Linked DNA regions of Oryctolagus cuniculus. The protein of the gene in region 5 interacts with the protein of the main gene of each other region in a pairwise test. Links are inferred from orthologs where the notes say so. Each region holds a gene or a part of one and is shown on either strand. Other genes may lie near its edges.

Region 1 (3,984 bases), on a different chromosome or scaffold from region 5:
AGGACAAATCATTCTGTTCTGTTTTGCAGTGAGACTAATTGGTGCCAGTGGATAAGTGAAGGGAGAAATAATTGCACAGACTTGAGACCTGTAGCTTGGGGGGATGAATAACTGTATCACAACAGCATGAGTTCTTGCTTTCACTTTGTACATTTATATAATTTTTAAAGATTTTTATTTATTTGAAAGAGTTAGAGAGAGAAGGAGAAGCAGAGAGAGAGAGAGGGCGAGAGCGAGTTCTTCCATCTGCTGGTTCACTCCCCAATTGCCAATTGGCTGCAATGGTCAGAGCTGCACCGGTCGGAAGCCAGGAGCCAGGAGCTCCTTCCAGGTCTCCCAAGTGGTGCAGGGGCCCAAGGACTTGGGCCATCTTCCACTGCTTTTCCAGGCCACAGCAGACAGCTGGATCTGCAGTGGAGTGTCCGGGACTCGAACCAGTGCCCATATGGGATGCCGGCATTGCAGACAGCGGCTTTACCCATACGCCACAGTACCAGCCCCTATTTATATAATTTTTGAAAAATTTAGAGGTATAACATACTATAAATTATATGTGCAAGTTTTCTACTTATGGTTTAAATCGTGTGGGATCTTACAGATCACGGCATCTTTATTTTTTAAATCTCTGTTTTGGGGGGCAGAGTTAAGTAAAGGGATGAAAGTTCACGTAACGCAGTCCTTTAAATCAGTTTGGGGATGGTTAATTAATGCATTTGCACGTATGAAAGAACAGTGAGCGCTTCTTAGTTACCTGGCACTGCTGTGGCTGCCTCTCCTGAGCTCCCATTTAATCCTCCAGTCTCTAGGAGGCAGGAATTGTCCCGATTTTCAGATCAGGAAACCGAGGCACACGGACACCACAGTAGAAAGCACACAGAATACAGCGCCGGGATGTGGAGTTCGACAATGTGACTTGGGCGGTTACGTCCGCTAATCACTGCATTAGATTGTCTTTGGGCTCTTTATTTATACTTGGCTTGCTTAGGATTCAAATTTCCTTTTGGCTATTTCCGGGCCATTTTTATCACGTCGTTGAGACGGTGTCACCGTTTACAACGGCCCTTCCGTAAGAGGACTGAGCGCACCGCCCGGACACTTCCCGGATTCCACGTGAGTCAGAAGTCGCTCAGCGCCGCGCCGGCTCGGCTGCCCCACCCGGAGCGGCGGGCGCCGTTGCCTAGCAACAGCCGCGCCACACCGGAAGCCGAGGGGGTTTTCGGCCTGCGCTCGGCCGCGGCCACTTCTGTCTGAAGCGTCGGAGTTCTGGATAGGGCATTGCGCTTCCTGTACTGCGCCACAAGTGGCGCTGGCCTTCCTCTCCCTTCATATTTGAATTTAAAAAAACTTGGAAAACCGAGTTTGTGGCAGCAGAGGGCTAGGGATCCGCTCGGCCGACTGTGTCGGCACCCCTGGGTCGATTTCTCTCAAGCCTGTTCCCCAAGGGCTGGAACCCAACGCTGCTCTTCCGTGGTCTTGAGAGTTGTGACTTGAGTTCCTAGCCAGCCGGGCGGCGTTCGGCCCCGCCACGTCTGAAAACAGTCTTTGCTGAGGTGAGCGCAGACCAGACGGGCTGGAGCCTGGAGAACGGAAGCTGGGGACACAAGCGAGCGCACTTCACAGACGCACAGAAACAAGGAAGCGGGAAGGGCCGCCGCGGACGCCAGCGCGCCCCCTCAGGATCCATGAGTTACTCCCGAAGCTCTCAGCCCGACTCCGGAGCCAGACCGGACGCCGGGCGGGGCGAGGCAGCGCGTTCCCGTCAACCTTGCCAATCACGCGACTCGGCCCCGCCCCGCCACATGACCTTCCCTGGCGGAAGCTCGCGGTCGCGCGCTCTAGGGGTCTCCGGACACGCGGATTCGCGCGCATCAATCTAGCCAATCAGGAGTCTCTTCCGCTCCCGTGCGGCCCCGCCCCTTGGAGCTGCATCGGCTGACGGCCGCGGCTCCGCGCGGTGTTTGAATGCTGTGGGGTTGGCGGAGGGCGGTAGCGTGCTTCGGCCCAGGGGGGTGTCTGAGTGCTGGGCTTCGGGGGCTTGCTGAAAAGCCAGGTAGAGGTTCCTTTCCGCAGTCGGGGGCCCTCGACCCTCCCTCAGGCCTGGGGTGTCTGGAGGGCCGGCGGGCTCCCTGCATGGGGGAAAGGGGAGTGGCCGCCTCTCTGGTTCTACCCCACCGAGTTGGAAGGGACAGCTTCAGTCGACTTCCCTCTTCAGTGTCTGTTCGCTTTTACTCTGAAAGTGCAGACAGGCGTGATTTTTTTTTTTCTTTATATTTTCTTGTTTCTTAACGCCTGGTTCTAGTCAAGCGGCTTTTAGGGTTCGGGATGATTGACAAGTTCAGGTCCGATTATGCCTTTTGAGCCCACTTAGGCCATGTCTCTTAATTATGAAGCTGTCACAACGAAAGAATCACTATCTAAAGTTGTTATTCTCCCTTGCCCCCGTAATGGAGACTTGGAAGATACTTCATGGCTAACAAGTCTCGTTTCTATGAGATACTAGTAGGTTAATTTGTCATGAAAAAACTAGTTGTCCTTGTGTGGGAAGGTAAGTGAAAAACTCCAAAAATAGCGAGAATTAACTAACAAATTAGAAGAAAAAACAAAAAACAAAAAACTGCTGGCCCAATAAAGAAATACTTGGATAAAAATGGAGGACTTTAGAAAGGTATGGTTATTTTGAGTCCCATTTCATAATTACTTTTTCTGGTTCTAGAGGTAACCCAAGATTTCATTTTCAAGATGGAAAGCCCATCAGACTCAGCGGTGATTGCACCTAGCACCCCACAGGCCTGTGCGAATCCGCCATCTTCCCTTGCAAGGAGCTCAGGAAAACAAGTACGGAGATCTTATTCAGTCTTAAGTATCGGCGGGGTTTAACTCCAAAGATTGTTCATTAACGTGCAGATATTTTGTTAAATAGTCATTTAGTTTCTTCTAAGATACAGTGTGTGACCAGCCCCTTCCAGATTTGCATACTGAGCCAATTCATTTAGTTTCGGATTAGATTATTGCAACACTCCAAAGTGAGGAAGTCTGGATCTGCGGTATTATCACGGTGAAGGACTTTGGTGGCAGTGGGTCTTTCCTCAGTCTGCTATCCTATAGCATCTGGTGTAGCAGGAGGTATGGGCTAGATGCTGAGAGAAGTTTGATTATTGGGATGACTTTAGAAGGGTGTTGACCTGGCTGAGGTAGAGAGGAAAATTAATGGAACTTCTGGAAATTAAAGACATTTTGTGATGGTTACTTTAGATATGTGGAGACAGAAAGCCCCCTAGTGGTGTCTACTATAGAAATGTAAGGCTTTTATTTCTAGCACATTTCTTTACATGAAGACTTGGTTAACATTTTTAATATTTTGTTCTCCTTTCAGCCTATGAGTGCAACACTTAGAGAAAGATTAAGGAAAACAAGATTTTCATTTAATTCCTGTTACAGTGTGGTAAAACGTCTTAAAGTTGACAATGAAGAAAATGATCAGAACTTGTCAGAGAAGCCACCCTCTGCCACAGAAGAAAACTGTTTGGAATTTCAAGAAAGTTTTAAACGCATAGACAGTGAACTTGAAGAAAGTACGCATTTGAAAAATACATTCCAGAACGTCAGTGCATGTGAAGCTACCTCACTTGATACAGGGTCATGCAGTGTTCTCCAAAATGACTTCATGAAGGAGAATCTTCCTATACAAGGACTGAAGGAAGAAAGAGCAAAATTGGTGAAGCAGGTTCAGGAAAAAGAGGACCTTCTTCGGAGGCTAAAATTAGTCAAAATGTATAGATCGAAGGTAAGAGGAATTTTTAACAATTTTTTTTAAGATTTATTTTATTTATTTGAAAGAGTTACAGAGAGGTAGAGACAGAGAGAGAAAGGTCTGCCATTGCTGGTTCACTCCCCAGATGTCCGCAACGGCCAGAGCTGCGCCAATCCGAAACCAGGAGCCAGGAGCTTCCTTGGGGTCTCCCACGTGGGTGCAGGGGTCCAAGG
Region 2 (3,933 bases), on a different chromosome or scaffold from region 5:
ATCAGCAAAAGTTTCCAAATGACTCATACTAACTTCATACCCACCTAGCTTCTTCATATCCCCCATCTTCCTTAACAGGTACAAGAATCCATCAATAGCACCACATAACCGATGAGGAAACTGAAGTCTAATCTATGGTTAGGTGACTGGTAAGAGTGCCCAAGGAGCAAAGCTGAATTCGTCCTAAATGTGTGTGGTGTTGCACACTCTGTGTTCAGCACCTGCTCGCTCATTGATCTGACCACTGTCTGTGGCAGGGGCTGTTTTTATCTATGTTTTATGGTAAAGAAACTGAGCCTTAGAGTTGGGACTTGAATTCTAGTCTGTTGGGGTCCAGGCCCTGGGTCTGAACCACTAGGCTGACTGTGGCTTAGAGAGAGGTGGGGCCATTGCTGCTCTGACATCACTCCCTGCTGCATTCTTGGGTGTGGCCAGAGCCTGTCCCCAACTCTGACAGCCTGGCTGGGGAGAGGTGCAGTCAGCCAGGGCCTGGGGTCCATCCTTAGGGGACAGCTCTTGCTGTGTCAGGTGAAAGGAAGCCTGGGGATTCTCTAGCTGACCCTGTGCAGCTGGCCACGGGGTGACCCCAGGACCTTCAATCCAACCTCCCCTTTTCTAAGTCAGGCAAGCAGGCACAGAGCTGGGGCCTGGCCGGCAGATGCTGCACAAGGTTGAGTATGTCAAGGACCTCCCAGCCCTCCCCATGGAGTTGGGAGACAGCTTCCTCCCTGACCAGTCTTGGGTCCTCACCCACATGGCTTCCTGTCACCTGGCCTTTGTTTCCATGCCTGACAAGTGTGCCCACAGCCCTGTCCTGCTCACCCTCTGTGCATGGCCAGGTTTGGGGACCCTACAGCATTCTGGGAAGTGTCCAAGTGAGATAGCGAGTGTGCCACATGCACTCTTGATGTCTGGGGTTCTTGGATCCCAGTGTTTCCTGTATGTACTTTTTTTTTTTTTTTTTGACAGGCAGAGTGGACAGTGAGAGAGAGAGAGACAGAGAGAAAGGTCTTCCTTTTGCTGTTGGTTCACCCCTCAATGGCCGCTTCGGCCAGCGCGCTGCGGCCGGTGCACCGCGCTGATCCGAAGCCAGGAGCCAGGTGCTTCTCCTGGTCTCCCATGGGGTGCAGGGCCCAAGCACTTGGGCCATCCTCCACTGCACTCCCGGGCCACAGCAGAGAGCTGGACTGGAAGAGGAGCAACCGGGACAGAATCCGGTGCCCCGACTGGGACTAGAACCCGGTGTGCCGGCGCCGCAGGCGGAGGATTAGCCTATTGAGCTGCGGTGCTGGCCTCCTGTATGTACTCTTATGTACCTGCCTCAGCCAGCCCATCTGTGAAATGGGTGATCTGAGTGGCACTGGCCTCTGTGATCCGCCCTTTCAGCTCTGCTTCGTGATCAGGCAGCTGATGTCATGTCAGAAGCAGGGCACTGTGTGCCCAGAGCCTGTGGAAGGCCCCAGATATGATCCTTTGCCTGGACACTCTATGAAGACCTGGGAAAATTGATCATGAAGCCAGGGCCGAGAATAAAAACCAAATACAGCAGCCACATCCAGCTCCCCTGTGCTTTCTCTCGTGAGACGGGCTGGACGTCACCTGTGAATGGGTACCTGTGAGGGGTTGCGGGCAGCTTCCTAGCCCTCTCTTGACCTAAGTTTCCTTCTCTGAGAAATGGGAACGCACTCCTGTTGCTCTTGCCACTCATTGGGAACGGCTTGCAGGAGGCCTGTGGGCCCTTCCCTCCCTACTCTGTATGGCCGAGATGTCTGGGCTCTGCAAGCAGACACTGCAGGTGTCTGTGCTGTTGGCCTGGGGCCTGCACTTGGCCCTGGCTACAGAGCAGCTTCCCAGCTCTCCCACCCAGGTCTGTGTGAATGGAGTCCTTTTTCTCCTTGTCTCCCAGGTGCCCTGGCCATACCTCCTCTTCAAGAGACATTTCTGCCATGCCCAGTCCTTCCTCTGATGGACTCCCAGGGCTACCCCCACAGAGTCCAGGTGCCTTTTCCAAGGGGACAGCCAAGGGCTTGTCACCAGAGATGAGGCTCCAGTGAGGTGGAGTAATGTTCCCAGCCTGCTTTCTGTGTGAGAAGATTCCAGGACCTTGGCTATGCCGTAGCCTCTGGCTAGGGAAGGGTGGGTACTGCCGGATCCCTAGCTGCTCACCTGCACAGCCTTGCCAAGGGCACGGGTTCTCAAATGCGAGTGTGCATCAGAGTCACCTGGGGAGGTGGGCTGGGCCGGGGTGGGAGTGCCGGGGCTTGTTCAAAAGCAGATTTCCCATCTAACAGGTTGTAGAGGGCCCTGGCACCTGCATTTTGCACAAGTCCACAAGGGTACCACTATTTGAGAAACACAGGTGTGGCGACCCCAGGCCCAAGAGGAGTTGTACAGGTGTCTGGCCTTGGGGTGATAGAGGATTGGAAAGCTGGCCCGGGTTCTGCCTTGAGGTGCTAAGGAGAACCCCTCCCCCAGAGGCTGACTTCTCCATCCCACCCAGCCTCAAACAAGTCACAGGAAGAGGAGAGTCAGGCCACAGTGGGCAGAGACCAATCAAGTTTGGGATCCAACACTGACCTGAGGCCTGTGGGCCCTGTGTGTGTCCAGGGGTCCAGGGCGGTGTCACATGGCACTCTGAGCTCTCGGTTCCGAGTAGTCAGTTGGGTGGCTGCAGGCTTGGTTAAGTTCCCCGTTTGAAAACAGGAAATAGGCTGTGTGGCCTGCTCCTGGTCGCCCCCACTCATTGGCTGGTGACAGACAGTGCCCGGAACCCCACTGACTGACAGCCAGCTGCACGCAAGGCAGGGCAGGGCGGTGGGCAGGGCCAGCCCTGGGTTGGGGTGGCAGGGAGGGGGTGGTGTCTAGCTCAGCTTCCTTTTCCCTGTTGCCTTGCCCTTGAGTCCTGGGTGTTCCCTGGGCTCTGGGTCTGTAGCTCCCGGCACCTATTGTCCTGGTCCGTTTTCTGTTGCTGTAACAATCCCGCAGACTGGTCGTTGGTAGTGAAGGAAGTTGGCTTGGCTCCCAGTTCTGGAGGCTACAACACCGAGAGTGACGACCGGCAGAGGCCTCGGTGCTGTGTCGCCGGAGAGCAGCAGGTAAAAGCTCAAGCCAGTGCACACAAGAGGGGGCCAACTTGTCACCAGCCTAGCCCACTCTTCTCGAGGATGACCCCGCTCCCTAACAGCGACATGAACCCATTCACGCAGGCTCCGCCCTCACCACAGCTGCCTGTCGTTAGCCCCACCCTCCAACACCATCTCCCTGAGGACCAAGCTCCCAACACAGGAATTTGGGGCACACATCTAAACCATAGCGCCCCTCAACATTCATTATCCTATTCTCTGAGCTAGGTATAAGGAGGGCCCTCATGCCCCACTAACAGATGGGAAAACTGAGGTCTAGAGCCTGGAGCTGGTTGGATGCAGAGCCAGTGCCAGACACGGAAGAGCAATGGGAGGCCTCACAGCTCTATCCAGTGCCTTTTCTTGGACAGAGCTGCGTCCAGTATCACTGACAGAAGTGCCAGGGATGCTGTGGTGTGGCTCACAGCCACTGGGGCTTATGGCCTTGAGGGCAAGGAGGCTGGGACAGGACAACAAAAACAGAACCTCGCAGTCCCTCTCCCCGAGAAATGCGCATGGATCTCTTCCCAGCTGATTCTTTCTCCCCGTTAGAAGTAGTCCTGATTCTCATGGGAGTTGCTTCTTTGCTTTTCTTCATAAATTTACCACCTAAAGTACATCCCCAAACAACATAATTTCATTATACTCATTTTTTAAAAAAGATTTATTTATTTATTTGAAAGTCGGAGTTACACAGAGAGAAGAGAGGCAGAGAGAGAGAGTCTTCCATCATCCACTGATTCACTCCCCAACTGGCTGCAATGGCTGGAGCTGCACCGATCCAAAGCCAGGAGCCTGGAGCTTCCTCCAG
Region 3 (3,500 bases), on a different chromosome or scaffold from region 5:
CAGCAGAGAGCTGGACTGGAAGAGGAGCAACCTGGACAGAATCCGGCGCCCCAACCGGGACTAGAACCTGGGATGCCGGCGCCACAGGTAGAGTATTAGCCAAGTGAGCCACGGCGCCGGCCTGAATTTTTAACATAAACTCTTTCAGAGGAACATGCACGATGAGGGGTGGGGGTGGGACAAAGAAACAACCATTACACCTAACCCATTCCTTAGTCTGGACTGAGACGGAAGATATAAAGCAGAGGGCTGGTGCTGTGGCATAGCAGGTGAGGGCTGGTGCTGTGGCGTGCGTAGTGGATGACCGTGCCAGCATCCAAGTGGGCACTGTTTCGATTCCCAGCTACCCTACTTCCAATCCAGCTGCCTGCTAATGCAGCTGGGAATACACAGGTGGTTGGGCCCCGGCACCCACATGGGAGACCTGGAGGAAGCTCCTGGCTCCTGGCTTCAGTTTGGCCCAGCTCTGGTGTTGTTGCAGCTGTTTGGGGAGTGAACCAGCAGATGGAAGATGTGTGTGTGTGTGTGTGTCCCTATCTCTAACTCTGCCTTTCAAAGAAATAAAATAAATCTAAAAAAAAAAAAAAAAAAAAAAAAAAAAAAAAAAAAAAGATATACCAGAAAACAGCTGATCACACAGTACATTGCCTCCTTGTTCCTATACCCATGAATCTTCTTAGTCTTTGGGGGTCCTGGTCGCAGGGGGAGAAAAGACAGAATTCTAATGGAGCAAAAGGCAAAGAACCTCACAGGCCTACCCAGGAAGTGATGGTGCTGTGGTCAATCGGCTTGCTGGGCACCTGCACGGTGTGGGTGGTGGGAGGCTGAGGAGATCCAGAGTGGTGCTTGGGTCCCTCCAGTGGTTCCTGGTGGAAGAGCAGCTGGGCTTTCTGGCACCGCTGCTGGCGTTTTTTTCTGGGAGGCATCAATAGGTGGATGAAGAGCAGTTAGCAAGCACATGATGCTGGTTGCCTTCGGGTTGGGGGACAGGCTCCAGTTCCAACCCATGCCTGCAGAGAGCAAACCAACGCTGAGAGAAAATTCAGACGACGCCCGGCTCTCTCTGATACGCTGCCAGCCAAGTGTACCATGAACTCCCTTCCCTACCTCAAGGCTTTGCCTACCCTGTACCACCAAGCAAAACCAGTTTTCCTATTCAACAGCACCTGTTCCATAAGCATGTGCTGACCATGTGTGAAGTGCCATGCTGGAAATCTAAAGACAAATAATAACCATTTGTCCAATAATCACTCACTGAGCACCAGGCACTTGTGATGCAGAGGTCCCTGTCTTCAGGAAGCTAAAAAGTTTAGCAGAGACAGACAAATACAATACAATATGACAATACAATATGCTTCCAAACACCTTAAGGGAGGCTTTCCTGATGGGAAGGCACTTCCTTGACATAGGTACGCAAAACGTAAGAGAAGCAAAAAAAAAAAAAAAAAAAAAAAAAAGCAAAAAGCGGGGAGGCACTCCAGCCTGAGGGACAGCATGCATAAAGGCAGTACTGCGAACTCAGGCAGCACAGAGCCACCAGCCACGCTGAGGAGGGAAAGATGAGGGGGAAGAACCGGGGCTGGACACGGTGTGAGGGTTAGGTTAGATAAACCAGGCGAGGCCGCAGGAGTCTGCGTTTTAGCCTGAGTAGTTACTGAAGAATTTCAGAAAAATTTCAGAAAAATAGCATTGTATTTGGTTACTTTTTAAATTTTCACCCCAGATAATTTAGAACATATACAAAAGTAGATGAATAATATAGTACCCCCCAATGTACCCTTCACCCAGCTCCAATAACCATCAGCCCATGACCAATCCTGACCCATGCACACCCCACCCATTCCCCTTACCCCTGGATTATTTAGAATGTTTTTTAAAAATATATATTTGTTGGGGGCTGGCACTGTGGTGCAGTAGGTAAAGCCGCCGCCTGCAGTGCTGGCATCCCATAAGGGCGCCGGTTCAAATTCAGCTGCTCCACTTCCGATCCAGCTCTCTGCAATGGCCTGGGAAAGCAGTGAAGATGGTCCAAGCCCGTGGGCCTCTATACCCACGTGGGAGACCTGGAAAGAGTTACAGAGAGGCCGAGGCAGAGCGAGAGGTCTTCCATTTGCTGGTTTACTTCCTAGATGGCCACAGGTAATGCTGCCTTTCAGATAAATAAATAAATAAATCTTATATGTATTTGTTGAAAGAACTACGTAGAGAGGCCAACACCATGGCACAGTAGGCTAAGCCTCCGCCTGCAGCACTGGCATCCCATGTGGGCACTGGTTCGAATCTCAGATGCCCATCTTCCAATCCACATCTCTGCGATGGCCTGAGAAAGCAGTAGAATATGGCCCAAATCTTTGGGCCCCTATACCCACATGGGAGACCTGAAAGAAACTCCAAGCTCCTGGCCTCAGAACGGCCCAGCTCTGGCTGTTGTGGCCATTTAGAGAATAAACTAGCACATTGAAGCCTTTTTCTCTGTCTCTCCCTCTCTGTCTATAACTCTACTTCTCAAATACATAAAATCTTAAGAAAAAAAAAAAGAGGTACATAAGCTACATAGAGAGGGAGACACACACACACACACACACACACACAGAGGTCTTCCATTTGCTGGTTTATTCCCCAGATGGCCACAGCCAGGGCTGGACCAGGCCAAAGTAGGAAACAGGAGCCTCCTCTGAGTCTCCCACATGTATGCAGGGGCCCAAATACTTGGGCCATCTTCTGCTTCTTTCCCAGGGGCGTTAGCAGGGAGCTGGATCAGAAGTGGTGCAGGCCAGCGCCGTGGCTCAATAGGCTAATCCTCCACCTGCGGCGCCGTCACACCGGGTTCTAGTCCCAGTCGGGGCACTGGATTCTGTCCCAGTTTCCCTTCTTCCAGGTCAGCTCTCTGCTGTGGCCCGGGAGTGCAGTGGAGGATGGCCCAAGTGCTTGGGCCCTGCACCCCATGGGAGACCAGGATAAGCACCTGGCTCCTGGCTTCGGATCAGTGCGGTGCGGTGGCCGCAGCGTGCTGGCCGCGGCAGCCATTGGAGGGTGAACCAAAGGCAAAGGAAGACCTTTCTCTCTGTCTCTCTCTCTCTCACTGTCCACTCTGTCAAAAAAAAAAAAAAAAAAAAAAGAAGTGGAGCAGCCGGGACTCGAACCAGCGCTCACATTGGATACTGGTGCTACAGGCACTACAGGCAACAGTTTAACTCACTGCGCCACAGCACCGGCCCCATCTTCTGCTGCTTTCCCTAGGTTATTAGCAAGGAGCTGAATCGGCAGTGGAGCAGCTAGGACATAAACGGGCGCCCATATGGGATGCTGGCATTGCAGGCAATGACTTTACTCACTACACCACAATGCTGGCCCCAAAGGATATATTCTCAGCCATTATATCATTCTCATTAACACAACTATATGAAGTTTAATGAAGTATATATGGGGGCTGGGGGCGGCGCTGTGGCACAGGTTAGGCCACTGCCTGCAATGCAAGCATCCCATATGGGCACTGGTTT
Region 4 (4,268 bases), on a different chromosome or scaffold from region 5:
AAGAAGAGAAATGAATGAGGGGCGGATACCAGAGGCAGCAGATCAGGAGAAATGAGGTTTGTTTTGCAGGGGAAGGTCAGGCGTTTTTCAGAGTAGGGAGATGCACAAGTTGAAGTTATGAAGACAGAAGTGGGAACAATGACCGAGTCAGCTCCTGGAGGGTACTGAAAGGCACCAATTCAAGAAAGAGAGAGACCCTTCTTCCTGCGGAACAAAAGGAAGGAAGTCAGGAGAGAGGGAGGCGCCCTGGGAAAGTCAGCCAGGCTGGAGAGAAACTGTGGGAGTTGATTAAGGCGAGGTCAGAGGCTGACCTAACTGCGAAATGTCTGGAGCTGCGGAACTTTAACAAGTTTGTGGAAAAACGGAATTAAAAAAGATTGTTTGTTTTGGTCCAAAATATACATGCATAGTTTTTTCATAATACACCTTTCCTAGAACTTTTTGAAGGCCTCTGGTATGCACAGATCTCAGTTATTTTTTGCAGTGGAATAAACTTCTCTTTTAAATCTATTTCCCATAAACTTTTGGAAGTCCCCTTGTATACTAAGGCAGTCTAGTCCACTAGGAATGAAAACAAGGAATAAAAGACTGCCCTGGAGGGGCCCACCAAAGAGTTTCTTTGTGCCGTGTACAAGCTGTAATAGGATCTGTGGAAGCGTTAACGCTGACTACTGCTGTCTACATTATTTTCCATGTGCATGAATCCTTTGAGTAGTTACAGGGAAAAAAACGAGCTGCCTGTTCCAAACAGCTTACACAAATGAACTGAAGCACGAAGAAGACAAATAAACTGTCTTCTGATGTCAACAAGTCACAGACCATCATTCAGTGTTGAAACTAGGTTATACTGATTATTTTCAATCTGTTATGCTAACTTTATTATCATCACATTTGGCTGAGTCATTCCCAGGTCCTAAGCAGAGATGGTCCGGGTCACCACGTGACAGCAAAACATCACAATATCAAAATAATTAGGTTGGCCACGAAATCTACCCCGGAAAGATACTGCGTAGCAAAAAAAAAAAAAAAAAAAAAAAAAAGGCAAGCTCCAGTTTGGCAAGGCAAAGCACGGAAAGATAGCAGCCATACCTGGGGCCCGTACAGAGCTGCCGAGCGTGCTAACAAGGGCTATCAGCAGGCCCACTCCCGCTAACCGGGCGGACGCCGGGATCTTGCGGTGGGATGACTCCGGGGCACATGGCGGGGCTCCACCCTTTGCCAGGGACGGGCACACCCCGGGGCCTGGGAGCATGCTTCTCAGAAAAATACAAGTTCTCCTTTGATGGCGCCCCAGAAAAGCCTCTCCCACCTCCTCCCCCGTTCCCCAAGGGCAGGGCTGAACTGAGCTGCAGAGTTGGCTGGACACTGGGTCAAGTGACAACAACTCGGGCTGACCGCACCCCGCCTCCCACTCTCAACACCCTCCCCCCGCCATCCGCCCGCCCAGGAAGACGCGCGGACTGCGCCTGCGCGTGCCTCTGCGGCGGCGATCTGCGAGAGGCGGGGCTCGGCGCGCGAGGCGCTTTCGTCTCCAGGCAACGGGAATCGCCGAGGCCCGCGGAGAGCGCCTGCGCTGACGTCGGTTGGGGGCGGCCGGGTCTGGAAAGCCAGGTCCTGGGGTTTCCCCTGAGCCGCCGCGGTGCCCCCAGAGCCGGAGGTACGCAGAAGGGCGGGGAGACGTGGGGTGAACACCTCGACCTCCCGAGGGCCCGAGGAGCAGGAGAGCGAGGGCTTGTCCCCAGAAACCCCCGCCTTAGTGGGGGCGCCCGGGTTGACTGGCACCGGACGGAACTTCCGGGTTCCAGATCTGAAAGGGGCTCAGGTAGCCCCTTTCTTCGCAGGTTAGCGGCCTCCGGCGTCTGCGCCACGGTGACTCTTTGAACGGGGTTGGCTTGGTTTTGTCACCTGTAAGATGGTGGGCCTGGAGTGAACCCTTCAGTTCACAGGTGGAGAGACTGTGTTCCCCAAGCCTAACACCTCTCCCTCCATCCAGCGCTGGCTTCGCCTGCTGGCGGGCGAGTAGAGTGCAGATGGCGGGGGCTGGTACCGGGTCACTGTGTCTTTCCACCCTCGGGACCTAACAGAGCGGGTGGTCACCACTCACTGCGAATGCGCATTGGAGAGCTCTGGCACACCCAGCGCCATGTCCCTAGCGAAGCTGGAGGGAAATGTGAGTAGGGCAGATGTAGCAACAGTTTACTTTAGCAGCCGGGGGTGAGCCTCAGACAAACTCAGCACATGGATCTGGTTTGACTCTCCCCGTAGGCTTCCATCCAGGCCCTGAATGGCTGACCTCCAGTTGGCTCCATATCTGCCTGTGGGCGTTATGTTCCCACATAATAAAACAGAGGCTGCGGGGCTCCACTCCGCCCGGCGAGACCCTTATGAACAAGGTGACACCGCGCAGCCGTCCTCTGTGGGGCATCGGAGGAACAATGTCCGGGAGAGGCTTTTGAGCAGCAGAGAGCTGACGCGGGAGAACGTCTACACCCCGCCCAACCAGAACACGCGCTCCAAAGCCGGGGGCAGCTCCCCTAGCTGTGCTGATGCTGAGTCAGGCAGCGGGCCCCAGGGCCAAGGACAAGGTTGGTTCGCTGCATCGGGCCCTCCGTCCTGGCATCCCAAAGCAAATAACCCATACTTAGGTCCCTTCACAAAGAAGGGAGTTGGGGTGGATCGGGCGTACCCGCTGAAACCCATGGTCCACCGGAAGTCTCGCAGTACAGGGCAGGCTGGCCCCGCTGGGAACCAGAGTGTCTACGTGAGCGCCTCTGAGCCGAGAGAGCTTCCACACAGCAACTTCACGCCAAGGAGCACGGTGAACCCCTCTGTGGTTGGTGCCGTCCTTGCCGCCATGCAGGGCGAGAGGGCCGTGGCAAACCTCACCAGGTCTGAGTGGGTGCAGATCCAGAGACTGGAAGCCCTGGGGGAGAGCTTAGAGGAGGAAATCCGGAGAAAGGAGATCGTCCTGCGGAACAAGCTGAAGAGGACGGAGGAGGAGCTCAGGAGGATCCAGAGGGGCAAGGAGGAGGCCGAGGGGAACGCACACAGAGCGCTCCGGAGAATGGCTCTCTCCCGGGGGAGAGCGGACGGTGGTGCCAGCCACCCCGCGTGCAAGCCCGTCTTCCCCCCAGGATTTAGGTCCAAGGAGGCGCCCAGGAGTGACAGAAGAGAGGATGGAACTTGGAGGCGGTCTCGAGAAAATGCTGGTCTATGCCAGTTCTCTGATCATGGAGTCCAGGAGCTGGAAAGGGAGAGGCTGGCGGCAAACAGTAACAAAATCAAAGATGGGGTCTCGGGGCCATCCACGGAGAAGGTCTCTCAGTCTTCGGAAGCGCCGGACGGTGCTTTCCAGGGGCTCGGTACGGATTCCGGCCTGTGCAGGGCACCGGGCTCTTCGGGTTCCAGCTGTTCTGAAGAGCCGGAACTGGGCCAGTGCAGCCACTGTGGACGCACGTTTCTCCTGCTGAGGCTGGAGCGACACTCCAACGTCTGCAGCAGGGTGCAGGGCTCCAGGAGGAAGGTGTTTGACTCCTCCAGGGCCCGGGCCAAGGGCACAGAACTGGAGCAGTACTTGAACTGGAAGGGGCCAGCCTCGGTCAAGGTAACAAGGGCCGTGTGGATTTGACTTTGTGTGGAGAATGTTGTAAGGGCCTCTGGTGTCCTCACCAGCTTTCTTTAGGGAACATGGGTTATGTAAAAAAAAAAAAAAAAAAAAAGATGAAAAAGAACATTGGTTTTTATAAAGATTTGATTTCTTATTTACTTGAAGGTCAGAGTTACACAGAGAGGAGGAGAGGCAGAGAGAGAGAGAGAGGTCTTCCATCCGCTGGTTCACTCCCCAGTTGGCTGCAACGGCCGGAGCTGTGCCAATCCGAAGCTCGGAGCCAGGAGCTTCTTCCCGGTTTCCCACATGGGTGCAGGTGCCCAAGGACTTGGGCCATCTTCTACTGCTTTCCCAGGCCATAGCAGAGAGTTGGATCGGAAGTGGAGCAGCCGGGACTTGAACCAGCGCCCATATGGGATGCCAGCACTGCAGGTGGTGGCTTTACCTGCTACGCCACGGTGCCAGGCCCATGAACATTTTTTTTTTAAAGATTTATTTATTTATTCAAAAGAGTTACACAGAGAGAGAGAGAGGTCTTCCATCTGATGGTTCACTCCCCAATTGGCCCCAATGGCCGGAGCTGTGCTGATCCAAAGCCAGGAGCCAGGAGCTTCTTCCAGGTCTGCCACATGGTTGCAGGGGCCCAAGCACTTGTGCCGTC
Region 5 (3,500 bases):
GTTCAACTGCTACCTGGGACACCCTCATCTCCTAGAGTGTCTGAGTTCAAGTCCAGGTTCTGATTCTAATTCTAGCTTCCAGCTAATGCACACCCTGGGGAAGCACTGGGTGTGACGGGGGCGTGACCTGGGTCACCACCTCTGTGTGTTGGGGGTGTGACCTGGGTCACCACCGCTTTATGTGATGGGGGCATGACGTGGGTGACCACCACTGTGTGTTGGGGGCATGACCTGGGTCACCACCACTGTGTGTTGGGGGCGTGACCTGGGTCACCACCGCTGTATGTGATGGGGGCATGACGTGGGTGACCACCACTGTGTGTGATGGGGCCGTGACCAAGGTCACCACCACTGTGTGTGAGGGGGCCGTGACCAAGGTCACCACCACTGTGTGTGATGGGGCCGTGACCAAGGTCACCACCACTGTGACGGGGGCGTGACCTGGGTCACCTCTACTATGTGTGACGGGGGCGTGACCTGGGTCACCCCACTGTGTGTGATGGGAGTGTGACCAAGGTCACCACCACTGTGTGTGATGGGAGTGTGACCAAGGTCACCACCACTGTGTATGACGAGGATGTGACCTGGGTCACCACTGCTGTGATGGGGATGTGACCAAGGTCATCACCCCTTGCCGTGAGGAACAACTGACGGAGTGTAACTGGATGATCATACTAAACCTAGAGTAACGAGAGCAGCGTGGCACTGTCATGGGCCACAGTAGGAGCGCTGCCCTCTCCACGCACGAGGCCCTGAAGCCCCCAGGAAGCTCAGGGATAGGCAGTGAGGGGCGGCCTCTGGGCTGTGGGACTGCTTTCTGTGGTTCCTGAACCCGATGTCCGGAGCCCCGTACCTTGACCTGCGAAATCTCCTTCTGGGGAGCACTGAGTTTCTTGCTGACCCTGCCCTTGGCCTTCAGCTCTTCCACCGTCTTATAGGAGTATTTGGGCTTCTTCTTGCTTCCGCTGGGGTCTTTCCTCCACTGGCTCAGCTCCTTCTGAAACTCCTAAACCCCAGGGAAACCACTGGTCACACAGGAAACAGCACTTCCCACAGCCTGTGGGACGAAGACCACTGACACCACAGGGCAGCCTCTCACGTTCACCCCAACTCCACACCAAGGCTGTGACGCTGCAGCCACCCAGCCTCTTACAGACAATGAGGCTCGGAAGGCGGGGCAGCAGCCCCGTGCTGCTGGGAGATCCAGAGATAAGGCCACCCCGCTGGGCATCACTGTGGGCAGGCTCTGCTGGTGTGAAACTGAGCGCGTGCGAAACTCAGAAATGCAACAGGAAGGACTTCAGGAGTACCCCAAGCCTCGGTTCTGATTAAAATGATAAACAAGTCTCAAGGTGAGGATCCACTTGACACTCGGGTGTATAAAACCCCTCTGCAGGGAGATCTGAAGAGAAGTGAGGAAGCAAGCCGGCCTGAGGATGGCACGGCGCAGCCCTCAGAAGTTGACGGTGTGGCTGTCCCTCCACTTTTCTCACACTGGTTTACACACATAATTTATTTTCTCAGACACTATCTGGACGTCTGCTGGCTTTGGGGGAATCAGATCAGGCAATCCCAAGCTCGTGTTGTCATGGCAACAAGTGCCTAGCGCCGAACACGAACAGCGGCTTTCCACAAGTTACGTCCTCAGCTGTGTGCCCGAGTCCCCACCACCCCCTACAGCCTGGCACCTGGCTCGTGGCGTGCACGCCCGTCAGCTCTGAAGCCTGAGAGCCCGACTCAGACCTGTCACTTCCACACTGTCCAGCGTGTCCTTGCTCACGAGGAGGCTGGTGACGACACGAGCGAGGCGCTCCCCTGCGGCGCCTGCCTTCCCGCTCTCTGTGGAGAGCCGCCCCACCCCTTCTGTCAGCAGCACAGCTGCCAGCAGGTGGCTCCTCCTGCACTCTGGGTGAAACCCAAACGCCTCCAACCCCCGCCCCACCCCTCCCTGAGCCACATCTCAGTGGGACTCCTTCCTTCCTGAGATCAGAGATCACTTCCGTCCCAGCCTGTGCCTTACACTTGGGCCACGCCCCTTCCCTGCCCCTCCTGTCACCTCCTCGTCTCCAGCACAGCCTGCATCCCTAAGCACGTGGAGCTGCTGGCTTACTGTGTGTCTCCATCCAACGGGCTCGAAGCCCAGCCCGGACAGCACGAGGCCTGACAGAACGCAGGAGCAGTCGGCCGCCCGCCACGGCACAGGACACCGAGGCCTGCCTTCCACTCACCTCCTCGGCTTCTTCTTCCGAGTCCACCACGGGGAAGTCCTGCAGGGACTGCGTGGTCCGCTCCGAGCCGTAGGCCCCCACGGCTCCCTTGCCCTTCCTCTGTTTGGCTTCGATGGGGTTTATGATGCCTGTCGATTGTCAGAAGACAGAGAGCTCAGACGGCAGCAATTCATGTGAATAAACCACTCGGGGATGTCAAGCAGCCTTGCCCTCAACAGGCAGCACGGTCCCCAGCAAGGAGAGCCCTGCCCTGCCCAGGCCCAGGCCATTGGAAACGTCCAGCACTTATGTGATCACACAACAGCCTGCTGACCTCACGTAACTCATGTCCCAACCAGAGGCTTGCACCGTGGATGGGAGAAAGCACAAATCACTTATCACAGAGAGCGCCGGCACACTCGATTCCCCGCTTCACTCCTCTGGAAGCTTCCATCAGGCAAAGTGCAGGGATTCAGACAACATGTACCCACGGACTCTGAAGTACAGGTGCACTTCATGGAGATGTGGCGTTTATTTATGTGAAAGACAGAGAATGACACATCTTCCATCCACTGGCTTCCTCCCCAGTTGGCTGCGACGGCTAAGACAGGGCCAGGCCAAGGCCAGGAGCCTGAAACTCCACCTGGGTCTCGCACGTGGATGGCAGCAGGGGCCCAGGGACTTGGGTCACCTTTTGCAGCTTTCCCAGGCACATTGGCAGAGAGCTGGGCTGGAAGTGGAGCAGCCAGGACACGTGGGATGCCAGTGTTGCAAGCAGAGGCTTACCCCTGCCCCACAACGGCAGCCCAAGATGCGGCACAAGACGCCGCCCCTGCTGCACTTCTTAGCTGATGTCCCCACACTGAGCTTTTCAGAAACACACTGAAGCCCCAGAAATACTCGTGCAGGTTGTTTCTCTCATAAAAGGATTTAGACAGGATTACAACTTTTCAAAAACTGCTCCCCTCCCTGCTTCCCACCTAGCGCTGGGGAAGTCTCACTCTTCCTCCCGGTCACCAGCCCTGCCTCACTCATGCTCGTGTTCTCAACACAACACAGATTTACGCCAACTACTAAAAAGAGACTGGAATTGGAACCACAGGCTTCACTCTTAATTACACCCTCGGTCACTGCCCGGGGAAAAGTTCTTGCAGGAAGAATCCAACTGCTTACTAGGGTGGTTGTGCAACCCAGGAAATGCGAACGTGCGACAGGGGCTGCGTCACAGTGGGGTGGGCTGTGCACCTGTGCTACAGACTATGTCGCAGTGGGGTGGGCTGCGCACCTGTGCTA
Region 6 (3,929 bases), on a different chromosome or scaffold from region 5:
CGCACCTGCACCACCTGCTACCCACTCCCTCCCGCACCTGCACCACCTACTGCCCACTCCCTCCCACACCTGCACCACCTGCTGCCCACTCCCTCCCACACCTGCACCACCTGCTGCCTGGGGACCAGCACCTGCACCACCTGCTGCCTGGGGACCAGCACCTGCACCACCTGCTGCCTGGGGACCAGCACCTGCACCACCTGCTGCCCACTCCCTCCCACACCTGCACCACCTGCTACCCACTCCCTCCCACACCTGCACCACCTGCTGCCTGGGGACCAGCACCTGCACCACCTGCTGCCTGGGGACCAGCACCTGCACCACCTGCTGCCTGGGGACCAGCACCTGCACCACCTGCTGCCCACTCCCTCCCACACCTGCACCACCTACTGCCCACTCCCTCCCACACCTGCACCACCTACTGCCCACTCCCTCCCAGCACCTGCACCACCTGCTGCCCACTCCCTCCCGCACCTGTACAACTGCTGCCCACTCCCTCCCACACCTGCACCACCTGCTGCCCACTCCCTCCCACACCTGCACCACCTACTGCCCACTCCCTCCCATACCTGTACCACCTGCTGCCCACTCCCTCCCACACCTGCACCACCTGCTGCCCACTCCCTCCCACACCTGCACCACCTGCTGCCCACTCCCTCCCACACCTGCACCACCTACTGCCCACTCCCTCCCACACCTGCACCACCTGCTGCCCACTCCCTCCCACACCTGTACCACCTGCTGCCCACTCCCTCCCACACCTGTACCACCTGCTGCCCACTCCCTCCCACACCTGCACCACCTGCTGCCCACTCCCTCCCACACCTGCACCACCTGCTGCCCACTCCCTCCCACACCTGCACCACCTGCTGCCCACTCCCTCCCACACCTGCACCACCTGCTGCCCACTCCCTCCCACACCTGCACCACCTGCTGCCCACTCCCTCCCGCACCTGCACCACCTACTGCCCACTCCCTCCCGCACCTGCACCACCTGCTGCCCACTCCCTCCCACACCTGTACCACCTACTGCCCACTCCCTCCCACACCTGCACCACCTACTGCCCACTCCCTCCCACACCTGCACCACCTGCTGCCCACTCCCTCCCACACCTGCACCACCTGCTGCCCACTCCCTCCCACACCTGTACCACCTACTGCCCACTCCCTCCCACACCTGCACCACCTACTGCCCACTCCCTCCCAGCACCTACACCACCTACTGCCCACTCCCTCCCACACCTGCACCACCTGCTGCCCACTCCCTCCCACACCTGCACCACTTGCTGCCCACTCCCTCCCACACCTGTACCACCTACTGCCCACTCCCTCCCACACCTGCACCACCTACTGCCCACTCCCTCCCACACCTGCACCACCTACTGCCCACTCCCTCCCACACCTGCACCACCTGCTGCCCACTCCCTCCCACACCTGCACCACCTACTGCCCACTCCCTCCCACACCTGCACCACCTACTGCCCACTCCCTCCCAGCACCTGTACCACCTACTGCCCACTCCCTCCCAGCACCTGCACCACCTGCTGCCCACTCCCTCCCAGCACCTGTACCACCTACTGCCCACTCCCTCCCACACCTGCACCACCTGCTGCCCACTCCCTCCCACACCTGCACCACCTGCTGCCCACTCCCTCCCAGCACCTGTACCACCTACTGCTCCCTCCCAGCCTCATCCCGCATCTCAACCGTGCAAAATAACTCGTGTGGCCCAGCTTCCCTTACTTGGTCCCGTCCCCTGAACCCAACTTATCACACCACACGATGCTCCATCTCTACGACTGTCTGATTCAGGTGGGGCTGGGGGGTGAGGAAGCAGCTTCCAGAGGCCTACAAATGGCCCAAGACCGCCGGACCAGGACCAGCAATGACGGTCCAAGATTCTGATTCCACACGTCTGCGATCTTGTCCGCTCATCTGCAAACGGGGCTTACCGCCCTGCTCACAACGCTCCCGCAGCTGGGGATTGTGCACGAATCTGCTTACTGAGGGTGGTGCCACAGCCACCGCCCACGTACCTTTGGTGGCATCAACCCCGAGGGCTACCTGAGCGCTTGAGTCAGAATTCTGCTCCTCGAGCTCCCAGCCCAGCTGAAACCCTGGGGGAAATGTGGGTCGCCGCCGAGCCGGCGAGTCCCTGCGAAGGTCCAGAACTACATCTCCCAGAGTCCAGCACGCCACGTCGGGTGCCGGCGGCGCCCTGGCAGCACAGCCCGCCGCCCTGGCAGCGAGTGCTGACTGACGGGACCCGGTCCCGCGCTCCCGGCAACGCCGGGCGGTAGGGACCCAACCACAACCGCCGAGCCCTCCTGCGCCCCGCGGGCCGCTCCGCGCTCGTGAGCATGCGCGCTGGCCGAGCCTCCACCCCGGCCAGACTACGTCTCCCAGGATGCTTCGCGCCCCAGCCCGGCGTCTCCCCGCCCTCCCCCCGCGCCCGCCGCCTCCGTTTCTGCCCGCCTCCCACCCCGGCCCCTGAGGGTGGCGGTGGTCGCTATGAGCTCGCACTCCCGGCCGCTTCTTCCCACGCTGCCTGCCTCGAATCCAGGCGTCCGGCCCTTGTCGGCGAGCGCAGACTTCCCGAGGGGCGGTGGACCGCAGGACCGCCTTCCAGACCGCGCATGTCCCCTACCGCGCCTCGTTCAGGTCTCCACCGCAGGAGTCTGCGCCAATCACAGCCCTCCCCGGGACGCCGAGAGCTTGCGTCTCCATGGCAACCCCTGTCGGGACGGGCGCTTTGGCTCCGCTTTCCGGGAGAGGCCGTCGGTACGGCCCCCCACTTGCGCCTGCGCGGGGCGGGACCGGGGGGTCTCCATGGTAACCTGGTGACCGCTCTGGACCTGGCCAGGCAGCCGGGCAGGCGTTTGAAAGGCAGTGGTGGGGGCTGGCGCTGTAGCTAGTGGGTAAAGTCCTGCCGATGGGCGCCGGTTCCAGTCCCGGCTGCTCCACTTCCGATCCTGCTCTCTGCTGTGGCCTGGGAGAGCAGTAGAAGATGCCCCAAGTCCGTGGGCACCTGCACCCACGTGATGCCGGAGACCTGGATGGAGTTCTGGTCCTCCGGCTTCAGCCTGTTGTGACCATGCCATCCGGGGGAGTGAACCTGCTGATGGAAGATCTCCCTCTGTCTCCCTCTGTCTTTCAAATAAATAGATCTTAGGAAACAAAAGAAAAGAAAGGCAATGGGGGAGGTGGGATGAGGGTGTGCACAAGAAGGGAATAGGGCAGAGAGATGCCGAGAGAGGGAGAAGAGAGAGCAGAGGGGAGACTTCCGGAGCCTGCCAGGGGCAGAGACTTGATGTGAGGATAGGTGGTCAGAGACGTGTCTGAAAGAGGGATTTCAACTCTCACTAGAGGGAGTTAGAATCGAGCGGGAGAGAGAAGACAGCTGTGCTAGAACAGCTAGCAAGAGGGAGAGAGGTCAGGAAAGGATGGAGAAGGAGAGTGGATGCTCAGAGACAGGAAGTGCAGACACTGAGACTCAAGGGACCAGCAGGTGTACAGGTAACAAGGGGGAAAAGGACCGACAGATTTAAAAGACTCAGAGAAAAGTGATGGGAAGAAGACATAAAGAGTCGCAGGAAAACTTGAGCGACTCTTGACAGTGAGACAAGAAGATGGCTGGTTTTGGTCTGAGTCCAGATGCTGTGCAGTTAGATGCTAACTCGTGAAACGCTGATGGGGTGCGCATGCTTTCTGTCCAGTGTGTCGTCCTGTAGGTCAACAAGCAGCTCTTTGTCTGGCCTTGCACTTTTCAGTTCTGCCTAGCTCCAGCCATTGTGGACATTTGGGGAGTGAACCATCAGATAGAAGACCTCTCTCTCTGTCTCTCTCACCTCTCCTTTCTCTGTGTAACTCTTTCAAATAAATCTTAAAAAAAATAAAGAAAAAGGAAAGGTGGAGCAACAGACAGAGAG
Region 7 (4,139 bases), on a different chromosome or scaffold from region 5:
TATCTGTGTCTGCAGATAAAACAGGCCCCAACATTTTGACGGATAAATGTAAAGGAAGATACATGAGGTATATAGGTGGAAAAATACTATATAGGCAATGTAGATAATACGGAAAGGAACTCATAAAAGATAAGGAAAAACAATAGAGCATTTTAACAATAACAACCAAACATTAGCAAAAAGGCATCTCAGAGTAGGAAGAAGATGTGCAGGGGTCTTGTGCAACTACAAACTACAAAAGATATGAAATAATCATGCAATTTTAAAGTACGTATAAAAAGGAATCCCGGGGCAGGTGCTGTGGCACAGCGGGCTAAAGCCGCAGCCTGCAGCGCCAGCATCCTATATGGGTGTTGGTTCGAGTCCCGGCTGCTCCACTCCCAATCCAGCTAGGGCCTGGGAAAGCAGCAGAGGACGGCCCAAGTCCTTGGACCCCTGTACGCGCATGGGAGACCCAGAAGAAGCTCCTGGCTTCGGATCAGCTCAGCTCTGGCCATTGTGGTCATTTGGGGAGTGAACCAGTGGATGAAAGACCTCCCTCTCTCTCTCTCTCTCTCTCTCTGGCTCTACTTTGCTCTTTAACTCTTTCAAATAAATAAAATCTTAAAAAAAAAAAAAAAGGAATCCCTGGAATATTATTTTTCTTAAAAAATTGAGTCTGCACCAAATATTATTAAAAACTAAAGAAGATACTCACAAAGTCGTCTCCTGAGTCAGCGCCCATGGAGGCGACCGACTCCTTGCTCACGGACCGTGGAATCCTAGCGGCACCTCCAGGCCTCTGAGCGCCAGCACTCTCTTCTGCAATCTTCTTCTTCAGCTTTGCGAACATTGCTGCTGTGTGGCTTCCCTGCACCGCGGCCGGTTCCTGCCTCACTGCAGTAGTCCTTAGGTCAGTGGCCAGGGTCCAGACACAGGTGCCTAAAAAGTTTCAGACATCCCAGCTAGCTGCCTTCCCACATAAATGTGGGCCAAGGGCTTATGGCAACATAGTATCTATAAACTAGATGGAAGCGATATCTGTAAGATAACACTGGAAAGATCCCCTGCCTTAAGCTTTAGGTTTCAAAATGAAGTTTCATAACTTACACGTAAAGGTAACAGAACATAATTACTAAACCTTTAAAAGGCCCTGGCTGCTTTCTATATGGACACACAGATGAGGAAATCCAGCCTCAAGGTGAAGCAACCTATCAAAGACTGTGTGGCTAAGCGGCAGGGCTGGGATCTGGGCACCGAACTCTGACTCACAGGCCCTACTTTTGTTCTTCTTAATTAGACCATAGTGGCTATGGCATATGACACATTTAGTAAAAGTTCCCAGGTCAAACACTAACATCATATAAGCATGACTGAACGCTTCTGAATCCTTCCTGTAATAATAAGCTTAACTAGCGTGTGTGTGTGTGTGTGTGTTTTTTTTAAGATGAAGGCAGAAAACATATGTAACTCAGTAAGAGGAAAAGATGTAACATTTTATGTTCCCTGTGGTCTGCAGAAAGCTCATCACTTAAAAAAAAAAAAACCAAGCAAGCCAGAAGATTCTACTATGATCATTCTTAAACTGTTCCTGGAAATGTGTGGTTTGAGTCTGAAAAAATGACCTCAAATCACAGTTTTCCTTCTCAGTGTTTCACATGATATCCAAGCACCTTTTCCTTCCAACACGGTCTGAAGCATGGCTGTTCTGGGTCCAGCCTTAACTTTCCACGGCCTGTGGACGCTGTTCAAGCTCTGCTCTAAGACCTACAAATGACTCTTACCGCCTGGGATCACCTGTGAAACCCCTACAGTTCATCGGAAGCTCTCCCTGCAATGTCCTTACTCACCCGGTTAAGACGGCCGGCAGGTCAAAGCTCTCACGAAGACCAAGATGAAACACGTTGGGTATGTTTCAAGTACAAAGCCAGAATCTTGGGGGGCGGTGGTGGGAGATGAGTGCAAGGGAAGAATTAAGTCGGGGAGGGAAAACCTGTCACTGCCCGACTCCAGGCGGGCTCCCCTCGCTCACGCTGGTCTCCTACAGTCTGGAATCTCCCTAGAGCTGGAGTCGCTCAACGCAGTCAGTGTCTAAATTCACTTCTAGGCAGCCCTGAGCCAAACTGCAACGCGAGTTCCGGTTTTCCAGAGCCGGCTTAGCTCTCAGCTGATTCTGGCCCTCACACACTGTTTACCTGGCCAGACCCTGGGCTGTCTGGTCACGGACGCCTAAGACAGTCGCTGAGAGGAAGGACGGCAAAGTTAGGTTTAAAAAAAAAATTTTTTTTTTAAAAGAAAGAAGATGCTGACGCCCAGGATGGCGGGCAGGGCGCTGCCAGGCAGTTGGGAGCCCACTCCCTCAGCCCCCGCCAGCCCCGCCGGTGCTCCCACTGCCAGGGCTAGCAGCCGACGTCTCTCTCATCTGGAAGCAGGGAAACTGAAGCCCACTGGCGAGGAGGGACGTGTCCAAGGTCGCGCAGGGAGGAATCTCAGGACCCGAGGCGCCAGCCCCCCAGGCCGGGGCAGCCCGCCTCCGCCCCCATCCTCGCCCTCCCAGTCCCCAGGTACCGCCCCCCGCCTAGGGTCTCGGGCAACCCCGTCCGGGGCGCTTGGGGACAGACCGAGGACACCGGGAGAATGGGGGCGAGGGGCGGCTCCAATCCCCGGAGCTTCGGGTCGCGCACCTGCCGCTCTGTGGGCACCCGGCAGAGCACCGCCTCCGGGGCCTCTCGCGAGCGCCGACCAGCGTCACCAGCCCCCACCGCCAGCCGCGGAGCCGGAGCAGCGACCCGGAACCGCACGTCCCCCGGCGCGCCGGAAGTGGCTGCGCGCGGGGCTGGGCCGCCGCGCGCATGCGCCCGCGTGCCCTCCGCGGCGCGCGCGCGAGCTCTGGGGCGGCGGTTGGGCCGGAACGCCTGGAGGGCGCGGGCGCCGGGCCTGGCGCTCCCTCAGGCGGACTCGCCACGTCAGCGGCCGGCCAGCCCCGTGGGTGACAAATGCGTCGTTTCACCTGTCTTTGTGAACGGGGTTGGTGTAGAGTCGAGGAAGTGGGAGGAGCCTCGTGGCAAAGGGAAGACCCGCTGTGTGCCGCGGGCTGGATGGAAACCCCGGGCCATGGCCGCCTGGCGCCAGCCCCGCCGCGCGCCGCGCAGCTGCCTGGTCACTGTGTCTGGGTGATCCCGGGAACCCTGGGGCTGCAGAGACTAGTTCTGGGATCTTGGCGATGTGAGTGGCGTTTCAACTTTTGTTGTCTGTGCCTTAACTGTAGGTGCTACCTTTTCCATCGCAACCCAGCACACGTGTAAACGGCACCTGGGAGAAGCTTCCAGAACTCTGCCCTTGTTCTGAAAGTACTCGGATCTGGTTGGCGTTTGAAAAATCCGCTGGGGGCAGCCCGCTGTATTAATCTCAGTATCCACTACTGATGGGCCGCCTCCTTTTAACACGTGAGGAAAGTCTAAAGGGTGCAAGTGCCTTGTGCGTGGCCACAGTGCCCATCAGTATCCTAGGTCAGGTGTCGAATCCTGCCCCAGCCCCACCGCCAGCCAGTGCACCTGATTCTTCCAGTCTGACCACCAGGAGAAAGGCGGGGGTGGGGTGGGGGTGGGGGTGTGTGAAGCCCAGGGCTCTAAAGAGATATACCAGCTAGAGTAAGAAGCCTCGAATCTGCAAACCCCAAACAGTTGGCAGCATCTGGGGTGCCAGCTGAAGGAGGCAAACCCTAACAGCTTACCTCTTAAACCGTCAGCAGTTCTGAAGTACCAAAAAGTTTAAGCAAATAATGTTTATTTTTATATTGATGATACACTTAATATATATGTGGATCAAGATACAAAATTCATTTACAAGAGTTCACACCTGATGTATGCAGTCACATTCCTAGAGAACATTTATCAATGCAAAAATTGCTTTAATATACTGACAACAAAAATCGAATACTCTGTAATCTTATTATTCATAAACATCAAAACAATAGTGTTTAACTTTCCATCCGCTAGTATTTTAGTGCCCTAAGGTGGTGGGCACCGTATAACAGAAGAAAATACTAGAAAGCCCACTGAATCCGCTCTGCAGAATCACAGTGTTTACTCAGTGAAGTAGTGAAAGGCTTGCTATCTTTTATGACAAATCACGTATCATACAAGAGTCAAGTGTGATGA

What was found.
Region 1: the proteins of TFIP11 (region 5) and SFR1 interact in binary tests that used the Homo sapiens proteins (3 or more experiments, as listed by UniProt). The two-hybrid records come from large-scale screens. The link is inferred for Oryctolagus cuniculus from reciprocal best matches to the Homo sapiens genes TFIP11 and SFR1.
Region 2: the proteins of TFIP11 (region 5) and SNX20 interact in binary tests that used the Homo sapiens proteins (3 or more experiments, as listed by UniProt). The two-hybrid records come from large-scale screens. The link is inferred for Oryctolagus cuniculus from reciprocal best matches to the Homo sapiens genes TFIP11 and SNX20.
Region 3: the proteins of TFIP11 (region 5) and RHNO1 interact in binary tests that used the Homo sapiens proteins (3 or more experiments, as listed by UniProt). The two-hybrid records come from large-scale screens. The link is inferred for Oryctolagus cuniculus from reciprocal best matches to the Homo sapiens genes TFIP11 and RHNO1.
Region 4: the proteins of TFIP11 (region 5) and ZC2HC1C interact in binary tests that used the Homo sapiens proteins (3 or more experiments, as listed by UniProt). The link is inferred for Oryctolagus cuniculus from reciprocal best matches to the Homo sapiens genes TFIP11 and ZC2HC1C.
Region 6: the proteins of TFIP11 (region 5) and myeloid zinc finger 1 interact in binary tests that used the Homo sapiens proteins (3 or more experiments, as listed by UniProt). The two-hybrid records come from large-scale screens. The link is inferred for Oryctolagus cuniculus from reciprocal best matches to the Homo sapiens genes TFIP11 and ZSCAN12.
Region 7: the proteins of TFIP11 (region 5) and GOLGA1 interact in binary tests that used the Homo sapiens proteins (3 or more experiments, as listed by UniProt). The two-hybrid records come from large-scale screens. The link is inferred for Oryctolagus cuniculus from reciprocal best matches to the Homo sapiens genes TFIP11 and GOLGA1.

Annotation. Positions count from the first base shown.
Region 1 is NC_091446.1:25,895,582-25,899,565, reverse strand, and holds the start of SFR1 (swi5-dependent recombination DNA repair protein 1 homolog), read left to right. Parts: upstream 1-1,184; 5' UTR 1,185-1,962; coding exon 1,963-2,050; intron 2,051-2,056; exon of another isoform or gene 2,057-2,514; coding exon of another isoform or gene 2,515-2,545; intron 2,546-2,713; coding exon 2,714-2,835; intron 2,836-3,373; coding exon 3,374-3,784; intron 3,785-3,984. UniProt on the Homo sapiens protein: Component of the SWI5-SFR1 complex, a complex required for double-strand break repair via homologous recombination. Acts as a transcriptional modulator for ESR1.
Region 2 is NC_091449.1:34,227,822-34,231,754, forward strand, and holds the start of SNX20 (sorting nexin-20), read right to left. Parts: upstream 2,801-3,933; 5' UTR 2,578-2,800; intron 1-2,577.
Region 3 is NC_091440.1:106,439,325-106,442,824, forward strand, and holds part of RHNO1 (RAD9, HUS1, RAD1-interacting nuclear orphan protein 1), read right to left. Parts: intron 1,011-3,500; 5' UTR 927-1,010; coding exon 759-926; intron 1-758. UniProt on the Homo sapiens protein: Involved in microhomology-mediated end-joining (MMEJ) DNA repair by promoting recruitment of polymerase theta (POLQ) to DNA damage sites during mitosis.
Region 4 is NC_091451.1:21,123,553-21,127,820, forward strand, and holds the start of ZC2HC1C (zinc finger C2HC domain-containing protein 1C), read left to right. Parts: upstream 1-1,468; 5' UTR 1,469-1,657; intron 1,658-2,032; exon of another isoform or gene 2,033-2,170; intron 2,171-2,265; 5' UTR 2,266-2,284; coding exon 2,285-3,604; intron 3,605-4,268. Other genes in the region: ACYP1 (acylphosphatase-1), read right to left, coding at 1,090-1,252.
Region 5 is NC_091452.1:20,273,462-20,276,961, forward strand, and holds part of TFIP11 (tuftelin-interacting protein 11), read right to left. Parts: intron 2,357-3,500; coding exon 2,229-2,356; intron 1,007-2,228; coding exon 854-1,006; intron 1-853. UniProt on the Homo sapiens protein: Involved in pre-mRNA splicing, specifically in spliceosome disassembly during late-stage splicing events. Intron turnover seems to proceed through reactions in two lariat-intron associated complexes termed Intron Large (IL) and Intron Small (IS).
Region 6 is NC_091449.1:72,640-76,568, reverse strand, and holds the start of myeloid zinc finger 1, read right to left. Parts: upstream 2,801-3,929; 5' UTR 2,639-2,800; coding exon 2,553-2,638; intron 2,204-2,552; exon of another isoform or gene 2,037-2,203; intron 1-2,036. UniProt on the Homo sapiens protein: May be involved in transcriptional regulation.
Region 7 is NC_091432.1:228,794,056-228,798,194, forward strand, and holds the start of GOLGA1 (golgin subfamily A member 1), read right to left. Parts: upstream 2,801-4,139; 5' UTR 2,664-2,800; exon of another isoform or gene 2,601-2,663; intron 2,590-2,600; exon of another isoform or gene 1,830-2,589; intron 922-1,829; 5' UTR 833-921; coding exon 698-832; intron 1-697. UniProt on the Homo sapiens protein: Involved in vesicular trafficking at the Golgi apparatus level. Involved in endosome-to-Golgi trafficking. Mechanistically, captures transport vesicles arriving from endosomes via the protein TBC1D23.